Saccharomyces cerevisiae S288C: one gene and its partners. The gene in region 4 interacts genetically with the main gene of each other region. Each region holds a gene or a part of one and is shown on either strand. Other genes may lie near its edges. The genes, in order: SDH9, SUB1, RPL22A and HYP2.

Region 1 (6,572 bases), on a different chromosome or scaffold from region 4:
CGAAATACCTATATATTACTGTGACGAGTTTAAATCTATAAACGATGAGATTAAAGATGCTATGAACACCTTACAGAGCGAACAATGGAAATATTTCTCGGGGCCTAAATTTTCAGTGAAGATTAAAGATAAAGGCTTAACAATTAAAGTCGAAAAGGGCATGATTTATGATTGTGATAGAAATGATTTAATCGGCTTGGAATTCAAAGGATTTTTGGAGAATATTGACAGTTACACATAACGTTGATGAATATTTCAATTCACTTGTAAATAACGTAGGTAAATATCAAAATTAAAGTCTTTCACCGGAAACTGATTCAGCATATTTCAGCAGACGCGTCCTAGATTCACAGCAAACTTCAATATAAGCGATACATTAGGAGTGTTCGTACTTTAGATCTATAAGAACTATATTTTGTTACGATTCAGCCGTCTCTAAATGTGAACTAAATATTTATACTGTTATTTGAGAAACCGACAGATAGTACTTAATTTTATCGATCATCTAAGAATAGCATCGGTATTGTGGTGACATTTATTGAATTTCTTCCGCTCCAGAATAAAGTTCCTTTTCACTTCAAAAAACTGCCACCAGTAAAGTTGCACCAGTGGTTTTTGAGCATTTTTTGTCAATGTCGCTTAACCGTTCTTGAACTGTATCCTCTTGACGTCGATAAAATCATTTGTAAAAACCAGGCCAAATCATCATTGAATAATTTACACTGTGTCTTCAATGTCGCCATTTGGACCAATAATTATCAAACTGTTCACAATTCACTCAAAGTCCTTTCAGCAACATTCTTATGAAACAATACTTTCTTTGAATTTGTATGATGAAACAAAATTTTTTGGTTATTAATCATTTATCACTCTCGGTAGCCAAGTTGGTTTAAGGCGCAAGACTGTAATTTACCACTACGAAATCTTGAGATCGGGCGTTCGACTCGCCCCCGGGAGATTTTTTTAATGTGCTCTAAATAGAATGTGGATGAAATTTCTCTTGGCCGCCGTACCCTTCTTCATAATTAATAATTTCTTTCCATTTTGCAGGATTATATCTGATCAATAAGTGATTGTAAAGATTTTGTTTGTGAGAAATATGTGAATTTTTAATTTTGGTTATAACTTAATAATTGTTGGAATTCCATTTTTGATAAAGATGAAAATTGGTGAATTTTGAGATAATTGTTGGGATTCCATTGTTGATAAAGGCTATAATATTAGGTATACAGAATATACTAGAAGTTCTCCTCGAGGATCTAGGAATCCTCATAATGGAACCTATATTTCTATATACTAATATTCCGTTTTATTCCTTATTCCGTTTTATATGTTTCATTATCCTATTACATTATCAATCCTTGCACTTCAGCTTCCTCTAACTTCGATGACAGCTTCTCATAACTTATGCCATCATCTTAGCACCATATATGATAATATATTGGTAGTATGACTACTAGTTGATAGACTGAAGAGAATGTGGATTTTGATGTAATTGTTGGGATTCCATTTTTAATAAGGCAATAATATTAGGTATGTAGATATACTAGAAGTTCTCCTCGAGGATTTAGGAATCCATAAAAGGGAATCTGCAATTCTATACAATTCTATAAATATTATTATCATCATTTTATATGTTAATATTCATTGATCCTATTACATTATCAATCCTTGCGTTTCAGCTTCCACTAATTTAGATGACTATTTCTCATCATTTGCGTCATCTTCTAACACCGTATATGATAATATACTAGCAACGTAAATACTAGTTAGTAGATGATAGTTGATTTTTATTCCAACATAGACGATAGTTGATTTTTATTCCAACAGTGTTGACATATAAATACTAGTCAACTAAATGGTAATTGGTTATTATTCCTCAACATTCTGCTACCAAACGCAAATGTAGTAGGAGAGTTTAGATTTTCAACGTTGGTTTGCGAGATTGGTGAAATCAAAGCATAGTTTACCTTTAATCCCAATCTTCCAACAAACAGTAGCTCGCGTGGCGTAATGGCAACGCGTCTGACTTCTAATCAGAAGATTATGGGTTCGACCCCCATCGTGAGTGCTTTGTTTCTTCCGTGATAGTTTAATGGTCAGAATGGGCGCTTGTCGCGTGCCAGATCGGGGTTCAATTCCCCGTCGCGGAGATTTTTTTTGAAGCTGTTGTAGTTACTACTTTAAGATCCAGATTGATACAGTACGTATGTGAGGCAACAGATACTTGCAATATAACAAGTTTTGTGAAGAGATAGTGTGAATACCTATGGTTCCACGCAAGAAATCATCTATTTGAATTTTCGGCTTCTATAAGAATGACAAAACTCATAGGAAGCTGCAATGCATTAATTTTCCGTAAGCTTTATTAACCCGTTAGCCGCTCAAGTCGCTTTTCTCAGGTCGCGCTCCTCTTCTCCGGACTTATGTGGCTCCCTTTAGAATATAAGGGTCTTCCCTTTAACGGAACAGTAAGGTTCCACAAGGTGGCAAAAAAGGCAATCCAACCGACACTTCGGCAAATTTCTTTCACTCTAGTCAGAGCTAAGTTCTTATATATACTTTCTAAATAATTATCTGCTAAAATAAGAAAAGAAGGAGCCTAAATACGTATATCTATATACATGTATACACGTGAGCTAATAAATTATGTTATCTTTGAAAAAAGGAATAACAAAATCATACATCTTGCAAAGAACTTTCACTTCTTCCTCTGTTGTTCGTCAAATTGGGGAAGTGAAATCTGAATCGAAACCGCCGGCCAAATATCATATTATCGACCATGAATATGATTGTGTGGTGGTAGGCGCTGGCGGTGCAGGTTTAAGAGCAGCTTTCGGTTTGGCTGAAGCTGGATACAAGACTGCTTGTTTATCCAAGTTGTTTCCAACAAGGTCACATACTGTGGCTGCTCAGGGTGGAATTAATGCTGCGCTGGGAAATATGCATCCAGATGATTGGAAATCGCACATGTACGACACTGTCAAGGGTTCTGACTGGCTCGGAGACCAAGATGCAATCCATTACATGACAAGAGAAGCACCTAAGTCTGTCATTGAACTAGAACATTACGGTATGCCCTTTTCGAGGACTGAAGATGGAAGGATTTACCAGAGAGCATTTGGGGGACAATCCAAAGATTTTGGTAAAGGTGGACAGGCCTATAGGACTTGTGCGGTGGCAGATAGAACAGGTCACGCAATGCTTCATACATTGTATGGACAAGCGCTGAAAAATAATACACACTTCTTTATTGAATACTTTGCAATGGATTTGTTGACCCATAATGGCGAGGTTGTGGGTGTCATTGCCTATAATCAGGAGGACGGTACAATTCACAGATTCAGAGCACATAAGACCGTCATCGCGACAGGCGGATACGGTAGAGCTTACTTCTCTTGCACTTCTGCTCACACTTGTACAGGTGACGGTAATGCTATGGTTTCTCGCGCTGGATTTCCACTAGAGGATTTAGAATTTGTTCAATTTCATCCGTCAGGAATTTATGGGTCTGGCTGCCTAATCACTGAAGGTGCCCGTGGTGAGGGTGGATTTTTATTGAATTCTGAAGGAGAAAGGTTTATGGAACGCTATGCTCCTACTGCCAAGGACTTGGCAAGCAGGGATGTTGTTTCCAGAGCAATCACCATGGAAATCAGGGCTGGCAGAGGTGTCGGGAAAAACAAGGATCATATCCTTTTACAATTAAGCCATCTACCACCTGAGGTACTAAAGGAAAGGCTACCGGGAATATCTGAAACAGCTGCTGTCTTTGCGGGTGTCGATGTCACCCAGGAGCCAATTCCTGTCTTGCCAACTGTCCATTATAATATGGGAGGCATTCCCACAAAATGGACTGGTGAAGCATTGACCATTGACGAGGAAACTGGAGAGGATAAGGTCATCCCAGGATTGATGGCGTGTGGTGAAGCTGCTTGCGTATCGGTTCATGGAGCGAACAGATTAGGCGCTAACTCACTACTGGATTTAGTCGTTTTCGGTCGCGCCGTTGCAAATACCATTGCTGACACATTACAGCCTGGCTTGCCTCATAAGCCATTGGCTTCAAACATCGGGCACGAGTCAATTGCTAATTTGGATAAAGTAAGAAATGCTCGCGGCTCACTGAAAACCTCTCAAATCAGGTTGAACATGCAAAGGACAATGCAAAAAGATGTTTCTGTTTTCAGGACGCAAGACACTCTAGATGAAGGTGTTAGAAATATTACTGAAGTGGACAAGACATTTGAGGATGTGCACGTTTCTGATAAGTCAATGATCTGGAATTCTGATCTCGTAGAAACTCTGGAATTGCAAAATTTACTTACTTGTGCCACACAAACGGCTGTTTCTGCTTCCAAAAGAAAGGAGTCTCGTGGTGCTCATGCGAGAGAGGACTATGCAAAAAGAGATGATGTGAATTGGAGAAAGCACACATTATCATGGCAAAAGGGGACATCAACACCTGTAAAAATCAAGTACAGGAATGTAATCGCACATACTTTAGATGAGAATGAATGCGCCCCAGTCCCTCCAGCTGTCAGATCCTATTAATTCTTATTTATTTATTTATTTATTTTGGAGGGCAAACTTATTTATTGATCTGGCAAAAATGATCTTTCCCTTTTTTCTTATTTTTCTCTCTATCTCTCTCATTGATTCTTGGTCAATAGTACTCGTTTACTGTCAACTTACACCTTATCTATTATGCTATATAATTTTATGCAAGACATTGAAGTACAATATACGTCGAGCTGCAATATGCAAAAATATCAGAGGGAAACCAGCTCATTAGGAAATATGACATGTGGGCTATCTGTTTGTTGGTGGTAGCTGGGTTTTTTTTTTTTTTTTTTTGATTTTGTCGTGCGGGTGTGCAGGCTGGGATTTCAAACAAATAACAACGAGTAATTGACAAGAAAAACTTATTGGCTTATTTTCTTTTTGTTCTTCAAAATTGTTTGCCTTACCCTCTCCCTCAGTTTGTTTTCGAGTGATTGTCTATTAGGATCAATAGTCAACTTTGCTGTTTCCATACTTAAAACATCACTAGTCTTTATGCCGAACTTCGCATTTATAAAAGTGTCGCAAATCAATCTCATATCGTCGTAATTTTTTCCATACCACAATTCACATAAATTTCCAGTGACCTTACACAGGTCTAAAAACTTTTCATCATCTTTACTGGCATCTTCCTTTTCAAAAATTTTCTTGAAATGCAAAATCAATTCAACAAATTCATCGTTATTATTCGTATGTTCATAGTCACCTTGGCTCACTAGTTCGTGAAGCTCATCGTAAATGGATAACAAAAGGGTGATGATAGTGCATGCAATGAAAATATCCAAGGGATAATTGAACGTCAGGACGTGGTCCCAAACGATTAGCACATATTTTAAGGGTAATTCTCTTAAAAATAACAACCTTGTCCATCGGATGAGCCAGATTAGGTTGGAGTGAATCAGATGGTCTACGTTTTTTTTCTTCCCGCTGCCCGTTTTTGGTGGTTGGTAAAAAACCTTTGAAAACAAGTCTGGCAAACAAATCCTAAAGATTTTCGTGAATACTCTCTTATCCCAGTTAATCAAATTTTCTTCGTTATAAAAAATCGGTTCGATTTGGTTCATTAGCTTGTTAAAGATAATCAGAACGTTTTGCAAATCGGTATTATCGAGATCTGTACCGTGATATAATTGCAGATAAATGACGCTTAATATTTCGTGGAACCCTTGTTTATACTGTAGGTGTTCGCTTTGATGTATAAGCAGGTAATTGTACAAAAGTTGTCTCATTTGAGCATGAACCTTGGGTTCCTGAAATATATCGTCAAGCATTATCCTTGAGAGGTCCAAATCTATAATTTCCAGAGTTTCCCTCAGTGTCAACGGCTTTTCATCACTTCCCTTGGACAAAGAACCTTTAGTTTTGTCATTGTCATCAGACAAGGGATGTTTTTCAACAGCCTCGACGGGAGTCAGCCTCCTGATTCCCACTGAGGAGGAAACGTTCGAGTGCAAGACCCTTTTAGGTACATTTGCATTATGATTTTCGTCATAGTTGTCGCCATCTGCCAGCATAGGCACTGGCACCAAGCCGAACTGGTTAAGGTCCAAACCTTTAAAGTTATCAGTTAACAAGCAGTTGTTGTTTTCATCACACAGAAGCAAAGCTTTCCAGAGCCAGCCTCTACTATTTTCTTTAAAGATAGAGTCATGGTAGAGTTCACCTTTCCAAATTCCCTTCTGCACCAGTTGGTCTCTTGTCTCGTAGTGGTCAATCGCCCATTGTAAGACATCCTTCATGGTTGCATAAGCGAAAAAATACAAACGCACGACAGCTAACCCTCTCTATGTATGCCAATTCTCTTGACAACTCTCCCCCATTGTTCTGAAAAAGGTAATGAAATTAAACGCTGCTGTACCGATTATGGAAAACTCAATGGAAAAATTGAAAAAAAAAAAAAAAGGAACTAGTAATGCCGTAGGAGAAGCGGGTAACATAATATCCGGTTTTCCTTTACGACCGCTTACAGGCCTAAACCAGCGCACCATCCAGTTACAATAACACTTGGA
Region 2 (5,751 bases), on a different chromosome or scaffold from region 4:
TCTAGAGAATACGGGATAACATCGTTGTTAATATTATTTGGGTTATTATTCTCCACGTATTGTATACTACTCATGCTTTCTATGGGGAATAAAATATCTTCGCTATTGAAATCATGGTCGACCGTCATTTTAGATCTAGTTCTTCTATGAGCAATAAAAGTTGAAAAAAGAAAGAAAAAATAAAGCAAATAAAACCAAAGAAAAAAAGGTAGCCTCTTGGCGTATGAAATACCTTGCTACTACTGTTGTGATCTTCCCGAAAAATATGAGGAAGATACCGATAAAGTAAGGAAGAAAAAAGCAATATCTTTTTTTTTTTGAACTTTTCGTATTACAGACTAGTTTCTGTTATCTCCAAGGTTTCCGTCTGTTTTATTTTCGTGTAACACAGTTTCTAACTGGGAAGTCTTGTTGAGCTCGTGCTGCTTTCTTACTATTACCAAACAGGAAGGCAAAAAAAGGGAACACGGTTTACGCGATAAAAGTAAAAGGGCCAAGTCTGACTGGTGCTGATATCAGGCAACAAACACCACTTTGTTCTGCTATTTGTCTTTATTACCTGTCTCTTTCGCTGGAAACAACAAATATAAATAAGTAAGTGTCAATACTATATGTTGTCTGTAGAGGGGAAATTGTATATATTTTCGGTGTCTTGTTTTTCTTTTCCGCAGTTTGTTTTTCCCATTCTGATTTTCTGAAATTCGTAAAAAGGTGTTTTTTTCGTATAAATGGCTCTCTTTAATTTATTAGAGACAAAAAGAGCCGATATGTATGACGTAGACAGATGGTGTCAAGAACCGGCTTGGCTGCTACGGAATGCGTAGCTGAACGCCGTGGTTTCCGGAGAAAGACGAAAGATCAACTCCGGCCGTCTGGCCAGGAACGATAGGTGCTGGAGATAAGTGAGGTACGGATACCAAGAGCGAAATACCTCTTTAGGTACGTTCCGGGCCGTTGTTGCCGGCGAAACCGGAGGGACAAGGCAATATGAAGTAGGATTGGAAACCGGCTTTGGCATATTGCCACATGCGTATGTACATGTCCGGCATCACGTGGTTATGATGTAGTATACTATATTATGTTATATCTGTATTACGCTACGTTGTGCTATCTTGGATGTTCTATTTGATGTTGTTGGCCAAGGCATCTTTTCTCTCTTCCCAAACAGTCTTTCCGGTACACGCACACACTTGTTTATTATTTTCCCACACACCAGCGCTTCTCGCAATGACTCCCAGAAATGAGTAGTCCTTAACGGAGGAAGGCTCGTTTTCTGGGTGGTTCAGAGACTTGGAAATGACAAAGCTGCGGCCGATAAGTTGCCATGTTGGCAAGGGAGCGCTCAGAAAGGTCTTCCCACTGTACAAGTTCTTGCCCAAATCACTCTCGTTGAAGCATTCAATGGGTTCGTCGAACTTGTGCCAAACTTTACCAGTAGATTCCACGCCCTTGGAGACGTCGCCTTTCTCGTGAATGCTGGCGTGGTAATTTCCCGCCTCTGGGACGCCATTTACAGTGATGTCAAAAAGAGTCTTATTCTCTCCAACCTGAACGATTCTTGCTAGGCCCCTCACGGCGGTGTCCTTTTTCTGGTCTATAGTATATTTTTGAAAGGTCTCTAAGATAGCGACCGCGGAAGAATTCGGCTTCCCGGCGCCTCTTATGATGGCGTCTTTACCACAGTTTCGCAAGGTGTTGATGATGGTTGAAGGGGCTACTGAGCTTTCCACGCTCATTATTTGTTGCTCTATATCGAAATTCAATGAATTGATTCCTGGGACATTTTTTAGGCATGCCTTTATATCATTCACGCAATTTTCACAGTGCATGGGAATGGCATAAGTAGCCTCGTATGTATCGTTCGTGGTCATTTTTGTGCTGATCGAATGGGTTTCTGCCTTGCAAAGATATCTTTATTCTTTTCTTAGTCTAAATTTTTTTTTTTTGGCTTGCCTTTAATATATTATTTTTCCGAACAATGAATTTTTACCCTCTTCCATTCTCACTGTGTACTAGTTGTACGGGGAAAATGCTTAGTAAGCGCAAATTTTTTTTTGATAGTATATTATACTGAAATGTACAAGATTAACTTTTGTCTGGTTATTATAAATCACATATTTGATTATATGAATTGTTAAAATGAATTTGACAAACAGAAAAGTATATATTTTTATTTCTTTTTTTTTTTTTTTATTCTCTAATAAGCTCGTTGGATGGAAGACGTTGACATAAGCAAGCTCAACTTCCAGGACTATTATTCTTCTTCACTTATGTCGTCTTCAGCCTTGTTCATTTCAGCTTCCAAGCTTTGAGCAAATTCTTCGTCACTAGAATTTGCATCTTTTGACTCGTTTATGTTGGAGACAATATCTTCTTTTTTAGCTTGAAGTGTGGGTACAGGTTCAGGTTCAGGTTCAGCTATCTTTTCTTTTGCCTTTGCCTCTTTCTCTTGTTCTGCAACTGCTTTTGCCTTTGCCTCCTCTGCCTCTTCTTTTTCCTTTTGCTTGCGTTCCTCTTGTTGTTTCCTACCTGCCTGGCCTGGGATGATCAAAGTAGCATTGGCTTCTCTTTCAGCGTTTTGAATGTTTTCCTCGTGTGGAAGTAGAGTAGGTGGAGCAGGTTTCTTCTTCTTTGAACGTGGCTCCAAGTCATGACTCTCATTAGATGCTTTGGACTTATCTTCTCTCCTCTTCTTTGGGCTGTTCTTGTCCTTCCCGTTTTTATCCTTGTCGTTATTAGTACTGTCATTATTGTTATCATCTTCATATTCGTCGTCGGACAATAGTCTAACCATTTTGGTTTTTGGTCTCTTGGATCCTAGCCTTCTCAAGGCTTCATCAATATTCAATCTGTGCTTAAGCAATTCGTCGTATAGATCTTCTGTCAACGAAATACCTTTCTTCCCAGGTTTCATTTCGCCTGTAGATGAGTCCAGATAGTACTCACGGATATCAATTAAATTTATGTTTCTAAATTGTCTTACCGTGACCCTCTTATTTTTACCCAGATCAAAAATTGCATCTGATGCGGATAGTCCAGATGGCATACCACCATTGTTATTGTTACTGTTACTTAAGTTTCCTCCACCATTATCGCTTCTTCTTTTGTTCCTATACCTGTTGTAATATGACATAGCGCTTGTGTTTGTATATATGTCGAAAAATTGATGTGTACGGAAAGATTTAATATTAAATAGCTTTCTTAAGTGGGCAACCAAAAGTGTTTCTTTGATTGGGGACTTTTACAAAATTCACGTTTACAACCTCTTCTCTTGTCTTCCTATCGTTCCCTGGATCAAATTAAGAATTTTCATCAAGAATAGAGAGCAGAAGGCAAGCCAAGAGAGAAAAAGAAAGAGAGAAAGAAAGAAAGGAGAGGAAGAGGAGATGAAAAGAGAGGAAAACTTGAGTTTTGATAAAGAAATTTGAGGAAGGTAAAAGTAAAATTCCCATTCAAATGAATGTATTAATAAATTCTCATCATTAAAAGGAGGGAAAAATTACGTATAACGTAAAGATAAAACGTGTGTGTGTGCAGTGCTATACTCATTGTCCTTGTTAGTGATGATAATTCGTCCCAGCTGAAAAAACTCAAAATAAGTATTACCCGGATCGAGGCTGTGGCATTTAGCGCCGCTGTCTTGACCATCCACCAATGGTTGATAATAACATCGGATGATCAGCCCATTTTTGGTGTATTACTATCCCATCTCATTCTTCCAAAAAACACGTATATATCATTGACGAGATCGAGATACGTCTGCTGTGTTTAACGGCTAACTTGGTTGTGTAGGCTTGTGTCAATTAGGCAAAATGGTTTTCTTGGAAAAAAGACAAGGGAAAAAAAAGGGTTGATAGAGCAATATATGTACAGCTGGCCTTCTCTGAGAAAAGCTAGCCGCCTGGAAGTAAATAAATACGCTGAGTGTTCGTTGGAGCATGAATTATGTGAATAGAAAAATACTAAGCAAAATTTCAAAGTCGAGTTAGTGATGGGTGTTTATTTGGCAGTACTCTTTTCGTTACTGGTCATCGAAATGGCCATTCTGTTTATTTTGGTACTTCCGCTTCCACAGCGTATGAGAAGGTGGCTGTATATACGCTACAGTATCATAAGTACTAATAAGAAATTCAGAACTTATATGGTTGGAATCATGATCTTCGTTGGTCTTTTGTTCATCGATTCATGGAAAAGGTCACAGATCAGAGTGTCTACGTACCGCAACCAGAAAAATCCCTATATAATAAATAGTGTAACCCCAGTGGATGCACTGGCTTCAAGGGCATATAACCAAAGGAATGTTTACATTTCAGGCTTCATCATCTACTTTTATATATGTATACTCACCGTGATGAGTATATTGCGAAGAATAGTGGAATGGAATGACAAAATGAAGGCTGGAGATGACATTCTGAAGGAAAAGTTAAGACGAAAGCAAAAATATTTAGAGGAATTGCAGAAGAAGAAATTTTAAAAGGAAAAAACTAAAAAAGAAGAAAAGGAAAAACTTACATATGTAAATAGAACAAATGAATATAAACTAAAATTTGACAAATTTTTTTTCTTTTTGGGGTGATTATATCATTTCTGGATGAGGAATACCTGAAGACCACTCTTCATTAAAATGTTCTTTAAAAATATTCTTTTGGATATATTCTACTAGTTGTCCGTCCTTAGAAGATAATCTGTTGCCATTCGATTTCACAATTTCGTAATTATCCAGAGCAAGTTTCAATTCTTCCATGCTACTGACTCCAAGAACAACGGGTCCCTTTCCTACCCATTCCGAAATCGCGTATCTTGTGGCCAAATCGGCTAAGTCGACATTTTGTTCTTGACAGTATTTGGCAGCCTGAGATGCGCATTCTCTCAATTCATGAGAACACGGGTGAAACTGTCTTGTCTCCTGTGACCTTAGTAGCGACATGCTCAAGATTGATGCGTTGCAAACCATTTTCAGTTTAGCATTGCGTAGCAGTCTTTCTCGAAAGTTCAATAGCTTATTGTTTTGTAAGTTCAAGTTACAATAGGACAATACTGCATCCAATGACCCAATATCACTTTCCTCGGTAGAGCAGTACTCAGCAAGCCAGGTGATAAAGTCGATTGGGTAGCCTGATATGCCAAAATTTTTGATAACTCCTTTGTTCTTCAAGGTCCTCAATTCCTTTAATGCCTCTAAGATGTCTGGAAATTTGACAAACTCGACATCGTGCAAGTACACCAAATCGAGATATGTAGTGTGTAATCTTTCGCACGATCTGTGAACACTAAATCTCACGAAATCTCTAGAATAGTTAAACTCTTCCGCACCAATACGCCCAACCTTTGTGCATATAAAATAAGTGTCTCTGGGAAATTCATTCCTTAAATTGGACAGTGCCCTACCATAAAGAACCTCACTAGGGCCATAGTAGGGAGAAGTGTCAATTGCATTGATACCATGCGAAAATGCGTATTTGATTATGTCTTCCAGTGGAATGGATTCTGGCTCATCTGTATATTGCTGGTTCAGTATTGCACCTCCTAAGACTAAAGGAGAAACCGAAGCTAAGTCGAATGGATTCACTTTTTCATTAACCATCTTATAGTCTCCGTTGTTACTCTTTTATTTATGTGTACTCTTCCTTCCTGTTAACAGAGTAGATAAATATAGGCTTTAAACTTACCGTGTACTGAAACCCAGAAGGCAGCTTTCTTTTTTCCAGAAAGTAAAATAATGACAAAAAAATCGACTACATATGCACAATG
Region 3 (5,412 bases), on a different chromosome or scaffold from region 4:
ATGATCTTCTATAGCATGACAATTGGTTTTGTTTGGACGTGATTGAAAGATGAAATTGTATAAAGTTAAAGATGGTTAAAAAATGGCCTATAAACCAATAAAACTGGGGTTGTTTTATTCTTGATTTGATAATGGTGCCAAATGGTGCCATGGGACGATTCCTGGGAACGGTCATATTGTTTTGTGCTAATTTTTTTTTACAATTATTCGAAATGAGTCTTGTTTGATCGTGGCCCCTTCTTTATTTCTGATTCCAAATCGAATTTTCAACTCTCTTATTAATATTTTTTCGGTGTGGATGAGAAGAAAAAAAATTTTTCTAAACTCTTCGAGAAAAGAACAATGAAAAGAGAACAGTAAAACGTCATAAAGCCTGTTAGTTCTTGACATAAAGACGGTAAAAGAATCGCATGTTTTCCAATGGAATCGAGTAGTCGAGTTTTGGGTCCATTCTATACCAAATACTGTCGTTCTCGGATACTAGTGACCATGGACCTGTCGTTCCCTTGTCCTTTCTATTGCCTACTAAGATAGTATCGATAAGAAATTGGATTGGGAACTTCTTGTTGTTGATGGTAATGTGAGAATAGCTTCCTGCACTCTCTAGTATGAGAAGATGGCAGCCTGGGGCACAGTTCTCGTTTAACCGTTGCAGAAATTTTATACTCTCCACTTTTTTCTGTGTAAATAGTTCATTTGTAGTAAAAAGTAGAGTTATTAGGTCGAGGCCTTGATATATCTTGATATCTTGTGGCTCTGTCATTTGTAGGCAGTCCTTGTGGGTAAAGTTGACGTTAAATGACTCTGCTTCTGAATCACCATATAGCCATTTCGACTTTATTGTAGCTGTTAGCTTTTCAACAACTGTGGACCAGTCGGCGATATCTACTAGTTGTATGTTTAAATTTCTAGGCTTTTTGTTTACTTCGTTGTCTATTTTCAAAGCAGAGGCAAATTTAGACGAAAAATCTCTCGATAAAGTGAATATGCTCGCTAATGCAACCAGCTCACCACCAGCGCCGCCACCTATGCAGAGCACATTTGAGTCCTTGTCATCAATTTCGCATCTGATAATCTTTAGAAGCTCAGGGAAATGTGCAAATACTGATGCGTAACTTGTTGCTCTGGACGGTGACCAACGACAACAATATGCTATTCTTTTCGAGTCGTTATTGAAAGCAGCATTGTAATCTCTGTTATAAAGGTCAGATTTTACCGCCTGTATTTGTTCAGTTAACGGTGACTTTTCATTGTCTTGATCTTTTGGATATAGCTCTTCTAAGAATGTTATTTTAAAAAGATCGATTATTTCCTGTGGTGGAAGCGTTGATTTATTGTGAACGGGCAATTGGGCCACTTTTTTAGGATTCATGTTAATTGGAAACTGAGAAGAGTAATGATATTGTGAATAAATTGGTATATATTTAAAATATACTGAAGAAGTTAAAAAGGCAAAGCGTCTCATAAGCAACATCAAAAACGTGCAAAAAGAGACCCTGCGATGAGATGTACTCTAATTCAGAAAGAGAAAAAAAAAAAAAAAAAAAAAAAAAATAAAAATGCACTAAGGGCCCAATGGATTTCTTTTTTTGATATTGAATCATTCATTAAACATATTTATTAGGTTTAGAAGATTTTAATTATACAAAACTTATGCTCTATTTAAAATAATATTAATGAATTTATTCTTCGTCTTCTTCTTCGTCTTCTTCTGGAGTGACTTGGTAGAAGGCCAATCTGTATTCGTTGGTCTTGGTAGAGACAAATCTGATCCAGTCTCTCAATTGGTTCTTCTTCAAGTACTTCTTTGTCAAGTACTTCAAGTACTTACCAGAGAACTTGGCAGTGGAAACAACAGTAACAACGGTACCATCTTCAGTGACAGTGACAGCGTTACCCAAGTTACCGACAGCACCTTCGACCTTGATGTGGTCGATCAAGTACTTAGCGTAGGAAGCTGGGTCGAAGACACCGTTTTCAGTTGGAGAAGAGACATCGACGGTAAAGGTCTTGGCAATCTTTTGCTTTCTGGAAGTCTATATCAAAAAAATTAAAGATTGAAAATTAGTAAAAATTTTCAGAACAGTAATGTTAGTAAAAAACGAATATTTCACGATTTTCTTTCAATCCCGAAACCACAAAGTTGCCTACTGCTATTAACAATCACATATGACAATCTCAAACAAAAAAACATTCAGAAACGGATAAAAAGAAGGGAGTCGATATAGAGTTCAATGTTCAAGTAGTGAATTTTTAAAATACAGAAAAGCAACTAAACACATAGACGCTTCTTCGTTTCGTACATTTTTATTTTTTTTTTTTTGGTTTTACTATCTTCCTTGTTATTCGCGTACAATCAATCATTACAATAACAGTAAAACATAGACTTCGTAATCGGGCGTGGATTCCTTTTAAAGTATCATACGTTTGGGGCCATTGTTTCTTAATCTGTTGTTTTGGTGGTTTATAATTTGATAACGGTAAAGTACAGGTAAAGTTGTTAATCTCAATTAATAATGTACATATTGTATGCAGCTAAATGATAGTTTGAAACATTTTAGGAAATTCTCGGTAAGATTTGTTCGCGTGGCCTGTTGAGGATTTTTTCAAAAGAGAAGCGCACTGAGGTGGAAAGGAAAAACAAATTAACATAAATGTATGGATGTATTATTAAATGTACTGATGTTTATCAAAAAAACTGTCTTTGAAAGTTAAGTACAAGCTAAACATTTACTCAGTAGCGGTAGTAATATTATATAAAACATGGTAAACTTTAGTTGTGTTTCTATATATAGATATATATATGTGTCTATCTATCTATATAAGTTTTATAAATCAGTAAAAATTTTTGTTAGAACATTACATTATAGGAAGACTTCGGCATTAACCTCTACAAAGGATGCAGCGAATGGAACGTCGAAATTCATCATGACTTCAGGATGCAAGACACCCAAGTGGCCGATTTGCTTTGGCTCAGCGCCTTCTTTGGATCTGAACATGACCTTGGCACCTCTACCTGGGAAGTAGGTTTTCACAGAATCGTCTTCTTCAATCCAGTAACCTCTGCCAGAAGCAGCAGCACCGTAGTCTGCAATCCACTCTGTTCTAAAAGTTTGCATGATTTTACCCAATAACCCTTGAATGATTTCAAACCCAGAATTCTTACCCACGTAGATGGCAGCCCAGTGACGTTCATTGTACGCCTTCCTTTCTAGTTTGTCGTCTTTAAATACAACGTCACCGGTTTCAAAGACTTTGATTGGCAAGGAATGTTTTCTGTTTTCCTTGACTGTCTTTAAGATACCAGGCAATAAAGTGGTTCTAACAACTTGGTATTCCAAAGTCTTTGGGTTGGCCAATTTGACAGCTAAATCACCATTGTCGGATTGTCTTAGAAATTTAAAGTTTTCATCGTGCGAACATAAGGTCAATGGTAAAACCTCAACCCACGTGGCTTGAGAGGATGCAACTCTGAAAATATCAGAAACCTTGTTGATTGGTAATGGTTTGGCAATGAAGTTGGCATTGGATAATTTCTCACCCTTTGGCAAATTATTGAAACCATAACCGACAGCGGCATCTTCCATTATATCACAAGCGTGCAAAATATCAGGTCTAGTTACCGGAATGTCAACGTGCAAGATGTCCTTGTCTTCCTTTGATTGAACGGCATGCAACGACATCTTCTTTAGACAATGAGCAATTTCATCAGCGGATTGATCTAGGCCAAGACAGGAGTTGATGTACTTAATGGAGACATCCATAATTCTATCGTTGAAGTTTGGCGCCAAACGGGATTGGCCATTGTGTTCAGAGACAATTTCTACAGGCTCAACCGTGAATGGTTCGTCACAATAACGTGAGAACATTGTAGTTAATATGTTCAAAACGATCTCGGCTTTGGTCTTATCGGTGGCGGTTATATCAATCAAAATGTTACGGGTGTTCACAGAGATCTTCGAATGTTCACTATTGATTAATGGTGGCAGGGAGCAAACACGATCTTTGCTGTCCATAATAACTGGGAAGACTGGAGAATCCTCAATAATGTGAACGTATCTCCCTATGTTGTTTTTCTGTTCTGGAGATTTATAAAACTCGATCAATTTGTCACCAGTAAACTCTTGGGTTTGATTCAATGGTACGAACTTGATGTCCTTTGGTGGTAGAGCTCTGTAATGGAATGGACCTTCAATTGAATCTAAATCGTGAGTACCCATGGCAACCAAGCTTCTGTTTCTACATAGATTGGCATGTAATTTATCTTGCAAGGCAATAAAAGAAGCGTAAGATTTTTCGTTAAGCTTGATATTTCTCAATACAGCAGCGGTAGCAAAAGGTCTAATTTGCTCCGTTGATTTGTCGATGATCAACTTAGTGGTTGGCTTGCTTAATTTATAGTCAGGTCTTTCTTTACGTTCCAAGTATTCGTTCAGCGACTGTGAAATACCTTCGATACAAAGCAAATCGTAACGATTGGCACTGATATCAAGCTTCAATTCCGGCTCCTCCCCGGTTTTCAAGGCCTCCTCTGTGGTGTCTTCGTCCATTTCCATACCGAATTCAAAACATAATTCATCGAACTCTTGGGAAGTGTAGTTTTTGCCTAGAAGATCAAATAATTGCTGCTTGTTCACGGAGACGGTAGGCATGCTGGCTCGGTGTTATTGATGTGTGTTATGCTATTCTGCCCTATTTTTTGAACATTTGATCAACTCCAGGCTTTCGAGAAATACATTGAAAATTTTTCATTTCCTTCAATTTTCTTTCTTTTTTGGTACCGATTCTGAATAATCGGTCACCTCGTGTGTCGTGATAAATAATCAAGAAGATGTACTTTTATACAAGGGTTGTAGTCATCTGGGACACTCTCAGAGCACTGGCTCTGACGACAACCATCAAACGCATGCTCATACGTATAATTCAAGCCTTACATACACTGGTATTCCCTTTGGGGTGTTTCTTTTTCCTGTCAAGTTGGGCACTTAAAAGAACTAATAAAAAATCAGTGTGAACTTTTCGATTTGCAAAGAAAATGAAAAAAAAGAAAAGGAGCTTTCACAAATAAACAGAAGAGATCAAGATGAAGTGGTTGTTGTTTCCGGCAAGAATCGTAGCTCGCACTCGCCCAAACCTCTTCTCGCTGTACAGAAGATCCGTTTCACAGTACTTACGTCCTCGAACCATCCAAAACCTGCAATCAATGGCGCAAACACCCGAACTTAAAACCAAGCTGTTCAAACCCTTGGTCTGGATCGACTGCGAGATGACCGGTTTAGACCACGTGAATGACAGAATTATCGAGATTTGCTGCATCATCACCGATGGACACCTGGCACCCGTCAAAGCGGCCGATGGCCAAGGAGACTCGCATTATGAGAGCGTCATCCATTATGGTCCCGAGGTGATGAA
Region 4 (5,384 bases):
ATGCGGGTGGTGAGAGTTGTAGTAGCATCTGTATAATCTCTGTAATGGAATCTACCAGTCTTTGCCGCGTAGTGGACAGATCTGATAAGCTTTGGCCTGACCAACGAAGTCTTAGTTACGATACCCTCAACAGAGACCAGTTTGTTTAAATGTTGTGCCGTTAGAGTACGAGGAGACAATGCGTGTGCACCAAATGAGCCTTTGAACGAAAGCTTCCAAGGATGGCGAGACGATACTGCAGAGGCATTGGGATGTGGAACATCGTCCATGGAATCTGCTAGGTCAGTAAGCGCCTTTTCGGCAGGCGGGATGAAGTATGCTGGTTCGACTAAAATGCCCGACCAGAACGACCTGTCGAATTCTCTCAAGTCATCAAGCGAGATGATAATCCTGTGAGGGAGTATATTCAATGAGGTGGACGATGCTGCTTTCTTTTCCTTTTCAAGATCATCACCGTCGTCATCACCTAGCAAATCTCGTTCGTCTGCGTCATCTTGATCATCGTTGTAGTTGGCCGCGTTATTGCTGTTGTAAACTTGTATGGACCTTACAGAGTCTCTGTATGAGGTGAAAGTATCTAAAAACTCTTGAAATCTGCGCACTCTGTCACCAAACACAGCGTCTGGAGCGAAAAAAGTAGTAGCGTCTCCATCAAATCCCGTTGAGCCTTCCATAATTGACGTTTGTATCTTTTTGGTGCGCTTATAGTGGAGTTCAATACGAGCAGTAGGATGAAAATGCTTCAAGGAAAAGAGCGTAGGCCTTTTCAACTTGAAAGAAGATTAAGAACCTATCTTTCGAGTTTTGACCAAATTTTTCTTTTTTTTCCTAAAACACGAGTTTTTACCCATTTAGGAAAAGTAATTGTTTCTTCTACCGCCTCGATCTGACGAACAAGGGAAATTGAAAAAAAAGAGAAAAATAACGACAACTGCAGGACTCGAACCTGCGCGGGCAAAGCCCAAAAGATTTCTAATCTTTCGCCTTAACCACTCGGCCAAGTTGCCATAACTCATTGAAAATTCTGTTTCCCACATAGGTCAAAACTAATATTTCCCTTGGCCTGCTCTTCAACCTCCCCCGTTCTGAGAGTTCCCTTTTTTTTTTTTTTTTTTTTTTTTTGAGGGGGAAGCGCCGGATTTGCCACCGACCGGCTGCTTGCAGCCGGTAGATATGCGCACATGAAAATCATCCTCCCCAATGAATTACACTGCCTGCATAAGGAAAAAGAAAAGTGTGAAATACGAATAAAAACAAAGTATATTATTGCTATATAGATGATAAATAACAAAATAAATAGAAAATAAAAAAAAGGATTTATTTGTGTATGCTTTAGGAGAACGAAAAAAAAATTGCAAAGAAAAAAACCCGGTTCAGCGAAGAGTACATGATGTGATGGAAGGGGCGTCGGAGTTTTTTTTTCTTTTTTCATTTATATCCCATGCCATGATGTTAACCGGTTTAATCGGTTCTAGCAGCTTCCTTGAAGGAGATGGCGGCTTCTTCACCCATAGCGGAGATGATGGTAACCATCAAGTCCTTACCTTCATCAAAAGCAGTTTGCAAACTGTCACCCAATTCACCTTCTGGAGCCTTGACATCATCCTTAGTGTCACCGTCCATGTTCATCAAAGACAAGAAACCGTCATCAATGTCCAACAATTGGTATTCGTTTCTCTTGACAACTGGAACTTCCATGTTGTGAGTAGATGGAGACAAATCTTCCAACTTCTTACCAGTGAAGATATCAATGGCAACCAAATGGACTTTAGCGTGACCGTGCTTACCAGTCTTAGAAGTGGACATGTCGACAATCTTACATGGTCTACTCTTGATGACAACGAAACCGTTCTTTCTCAAGGCAGAACATTGCATTGGGTAGGTGGCGGAGGAACCAGCGTCAGCAGTTTCAAAGGTATGTTCTTCGTCAGACATTGTATATATGAGTTGGTATTTGTGTGTGTTTGGGAGTCTATGAGTAATTGGCTACAGAAGTAGAATCGTTAGAAAGAAGGAAAGGAAGCAATTGATAGAAGGAGAGGAATTTAGGAAATGAGGGATTCCAATGTCAAGATATGGCAAAAACCTTGTGCATTATATAATCGTGGAACACGACGATCAACGCGGCCAAAAGCCGATCGACGACGACGACGAAAAAAATTTTTATTACCACTGTTCCTTCACCTTCGAAACTTTTTTTCGGGCGACGGCGTTTCTTTTAGCTCCTGCGGTATGTGCGGTGCGGGAGGTCCCTTGTCGCCTCACACGGACCCGATATAACGCTACGGAATACATCGAGGGGTATGGGTGGATGATATCACTGCAGCAAGGTCTGGGTGTTGCAGAATTTTACCGGCCTTGGCCCCTCAGCGTCCAGCTACAGCGTTATACTACTCCAAGTCGCCGTTCCCGTTTTGCTGTTCTCACCCCTCAGAGAAAATGCCACCAGAACGAAGCCAATGGTCAGGACTTATCGTTACTTATACTGTTGAGCCGGATATATCCGCTGTGCTCTAATACCAGCCAAACGAGAAGGGTAGCGGCAAGAAAGGGTAAACTTTCATGATGAAGTTAGCTAGTTCCTTTTACGATTGCTACTATCTCGTTCAACTTGGCCTGCGCTGTTGATGAAAATAGCAGTGACTGCAGAGAATAGAAATGAACCGGGCTCATCTGGTCTAGTTGCCTTCTTTTTTTTATTTTTTTTCATTTTCCTTTTCTTTTCTTTTCTTTTCTTGTCTCACTATGTTGGTTTAATCAATTCGTAATCCCTTTACCAACGCATTGTGTTCAATTTTCCTCTTGTGTGGGGTCGCCCGCCTTGTCTCATCGTGAAAAAATTGCGTAAGATGAAATCATGAAAACATGAAATAAAAAAAATAAATAAAAATAACTACACGATTCAAAAACGCCAAGATCTGTTAGTAGAGACAGCAAGCATTGCAAAACCATTCATCACTCAGTTGCTAGGCGAGTGTTGGTGCGATTTACCCTCATCATCTTTTTTTCGCTCCATTAAACAGTTCCTTGTGGCTTTCATGCAAAGTGTACGTCCATAATGAAGTATAATAACAGAAAACTCTCGTTCAACCCTACCACAGTAAGTATCGCTGGAACGTTGCTTACGGTGTTCTTTCTCACAAGACTCGTGCTTTCGTTCTTCTCGATATCGCTATTCCAGCTGGTAACTTTCCAAGGAATCTTCAAGCCCTATGTTCCAGATTTTAAAAATACTCCCAGCGTAGAGTTCTACGACCTACGAAATTACCAAGGCAACAAAGATGGTTGGCAACAGGGTGACCGCATCTTGTTTTGCGTGCCACTGAGAGATGCTTCTGAGCATCTTCCCATGTTTTTTAACCATCTGAATACCATGACATATCCGCACAACCTGATTGATCTGTCGTTTTTGGTGAGTGACTCTTCGGATAACACCATGGGCGTGTTACTATCCAATCTACAGATGGCGCAATCGCAACAAGACAAGTCCAAAAGGTTTGGTAACATCGAAATCTATGAGAAGGACTTCGGCCAAATCATTGGTCAGTCCTTTTCTGATCGTCACGGGTTTGGCGCCCAGGGCCCCAGAAGAAAGCTGATGGCCAGGGCTCGTAATTGGCTTGGGTCCGTGGCCCTGAAACCATACCACTCCTGGGTTTACTGGAGAGACGTGGATGTCGAAACCATCCCCACTACCATCATGGAGGATCTAATGCATCACGACAAGGACGTCATTGTCCCCAACGTCTGGAGACCTTTACCAGACTGGCTGGGAAACATTCAACCCTACGATTTAAATTCATGGAAGGAATCAGAAGGGGGTCTTCAATTGGCGGATTCCCTAGACGAAGATGCTGTCATTGTGGAAGGGTACCCAGAGTACGCCACTTGGAGACCTCACCTGGCATACATGAGAGACCCAAACGGTAATCCAGAAGACGAAATGGAATTGGACGGTATTGGAGGGGTCTCGATTCTCGCGAAAGCTAAAGTATTCAGAACAGGCTCACACTTTCCTGCATTCTCCTTTGAAAAGCACGCAGAGACAGAAGCATTCGGTAGGCTCTCCCGCAGGATGAATTACAATGTCATCGGCTTGCCCCATTATGTCATCTGGCACATCTACGAACCTTCCAGCGACGACTTAAAGCACATGGCTTGGATGGCTGAAGAGGAGAAGCGGAAACTAGAAGAAGAGAGAATTCGCGAATTTTACAACAAGATCTGGGAGATTGGATTTGAAGATGTCAGAGACCAATGGAACGAAGAAAGAGATTCAATCTTAAAAAACATTGACTCCACTTTGAACAATAAAGTCACTGTAGACTGGTCTGAAGAGGGAGATGGCTCGGAGCTGGTGGACTCAAAGGGTGACTTTGTCTCACCAAACAACCAACAACAACAACAACAGCAACAACAACAACAACAGCAGCAGCAGCAACAGCAACAGCAACAACAGCTCGACGGCAACCCGCAGGGGAAACCTCTTGATGACAACGACAAGAACAAGAAAAAACATCCTAAAGAAGTTCCATTAGACTTCGACCCTGATAGAAACTAGGCTCGGTTTTTTAGTGACCTACATATGAAGTACGAATTCATATAGTTGTACATATATACCGATAATAATATCAAACCTCTATTCTTTGGTCTTTAACTTTTCTTTGAGTGAATTACAATACCATTGTTATATCAATCACTATACACGGCTCGGTGGCGAAATTGAAATTTTTTTATTTTCTTCTCTTTCATTATGGCTAGGCAAGAAATAGCGACAGCAAAACTTAAGAAAAAATGATAGAACAAGGTCCCATCCAGTATTGACTAGTAGCTAAAGCTAGAAGGTACACTTAGGTTTTTCTCCCTGTTTTTAAGTTTGAACCATTGATAAGGCCGTTCGCAGACAAGCTTGCTACCATCCAATTTTCCTTCCTCTAAAGACTTAATAAAGGCATCTAACTCCACCTTTAAATCACAGATCACACAAAGACAACATACAATAGAAAAATGGTTAGCTTAACCTTTAAAAATTTCAAGAAGGAAAAAGTTCCTTTAGATCTGGAACCTTCAAACACAATTTTAGAGACCAAGACCAAGCTTGCTCAATCCATTTCTTGTGAAGAATCTCAAATAAAACTGATCTACTCGGGTAAAGTGCTACAAGATTCCAAAACCGTATCGGAATGCGGGCTAAAAGATGGGGACCAAGTTGTCTTCATGGTTTCTCAAAAAAAGTCCACGAAGACCAAAGTAACAGAACCTCCAATTGCTCCTGAGAGCGCCACTACCCCCGGAAGAGAAAATTCTACAGAAGCATCCCCCAGTACGGATGCTTCTGCAGCTCCTGCAGCCACTGCTCCCGAAGGCTCACAACCGCAAGAAGA

The links.
Region 1: mutations in HYP2 (region 4) and SDH9 together harm fitness more than expected from each alone (negative genetic interaction), as found in Saccharomyces cerevisiae (2 studies listed by BioGRID).
Region 2: mutations in HYP2 (region 4) and SUB1 together harm fitness more than expected from each alone (negative genetic interaction), as found in Saccharomyces cerevisiae (one large-scale study listed by BioGRID).
Region 3: mutations in HYP2 (region 4) and RPL22A together harm fitness more than expected from each alone (negative genetic interaction), as found in Saccharomyces cerevisiae (2 studies listed by BioGRID).

Annotation. Positions count from the first base shown.
Region 1 is NC_001142.9:353,375-359,946, forward strand, and holds SDH9 (succinate dehydrogenase SDH9), read left to right. Parts: upstream 1-2,649; coding exon 2,650-4,554; downstream 4,555-6,572. Other genes in the region: AIM22 (putative lipoate--protein ligase), read left to right, coding at 1-241; GTPase-activating protein GYP6, read right to left, coding at 4,926-6,302. UniProt on the Saccharomyces cerevisiae protein: Probable minor catalytic subunit of succinate dehydrogenase (SDH) that is involved in complex II of the mitochondrial electron transport chain and is responsible for transferring electrons from succinate to ubiquinone (coenzyme Q).
Region 2 is NC_001145.3:346,390-352,140, forward strand, and holds SUB1 (chromatin-binding transcription coactivator SUB1), read right to left. Parts: upstream 3,134-5,751; coding exon 2,255-3,133; downstream 1-2,254. Other genes in the region: stress-responsive transcriptional activator MSN2, read right to left, coding at 1-128; copper chaperone CCS1, read right to left, coding at 1,122-1,871; YET2 (Yet2p), read left to right, coding at 3,992-4,474; D-arabinose 1-dehydrogenase (NAD(P)(+)) ARA2, read right to left, coding at 4,577-5,584. UniProt on the Saccharomyces cerevisiae protein: Plays a role in the release of TFIIB from the transcription complex during transcription initiation. Binds to TFIIB and specifically inhibits the formation of the TBP-TFIIB-promoter complexes.
Region 3 is NC_001144.5:260,219-265,630, reverse strand, and holds RPL22A (60S ribosomal protein eL22 RPL22A), read right to left. Parts: upstream 2,438-5,412; coding exon 2,426-2,437; intron 2,037-2,425; coding exon 1,683-2,036; downstream 1-1,682. Other genes in the region: PER33 (Per33p), read right to left, coding at 1-175; BMT6 (25S rRNA (uracil2843-N3)-methyltransferase), read right to left, coding at 377-1,474; FRS1 (phenylalanine--tRNA ligase subunit beta), read right to left, coding at 2,865-4,652; REX2 (Rex2p), read left to right, coding at 5,084-5,412.
Region 4 is NC_001137.3:82,227-87,610, reverse strand, and holds HYP2 (translation elongation factor eIF-5A), read right to left. Parts: upstream 1,936-5,384; coding exon 1,462-1,935; downstream 1-1,461. Other genes in the region: MCM DNA helicase complex subunit MCM3, read right to left, coding at 1-674; MTC7 (Mtc7p), read right to left, coding at 1,013-1,432; UTR5 (Utr5p), read left to right, coding at 2,066-2,566; ANP1 (Anp1p), read left to right, coding at 3,059-4,561; RAD23 (Rad23p), read left to right, coding at 5,008-5,384. UniProt on the Saccharomyces cerevisiae protein: Translation factor that promotes translation elongation and termination, particularly upon ribosome stalling at specific amino acid sequence contexts.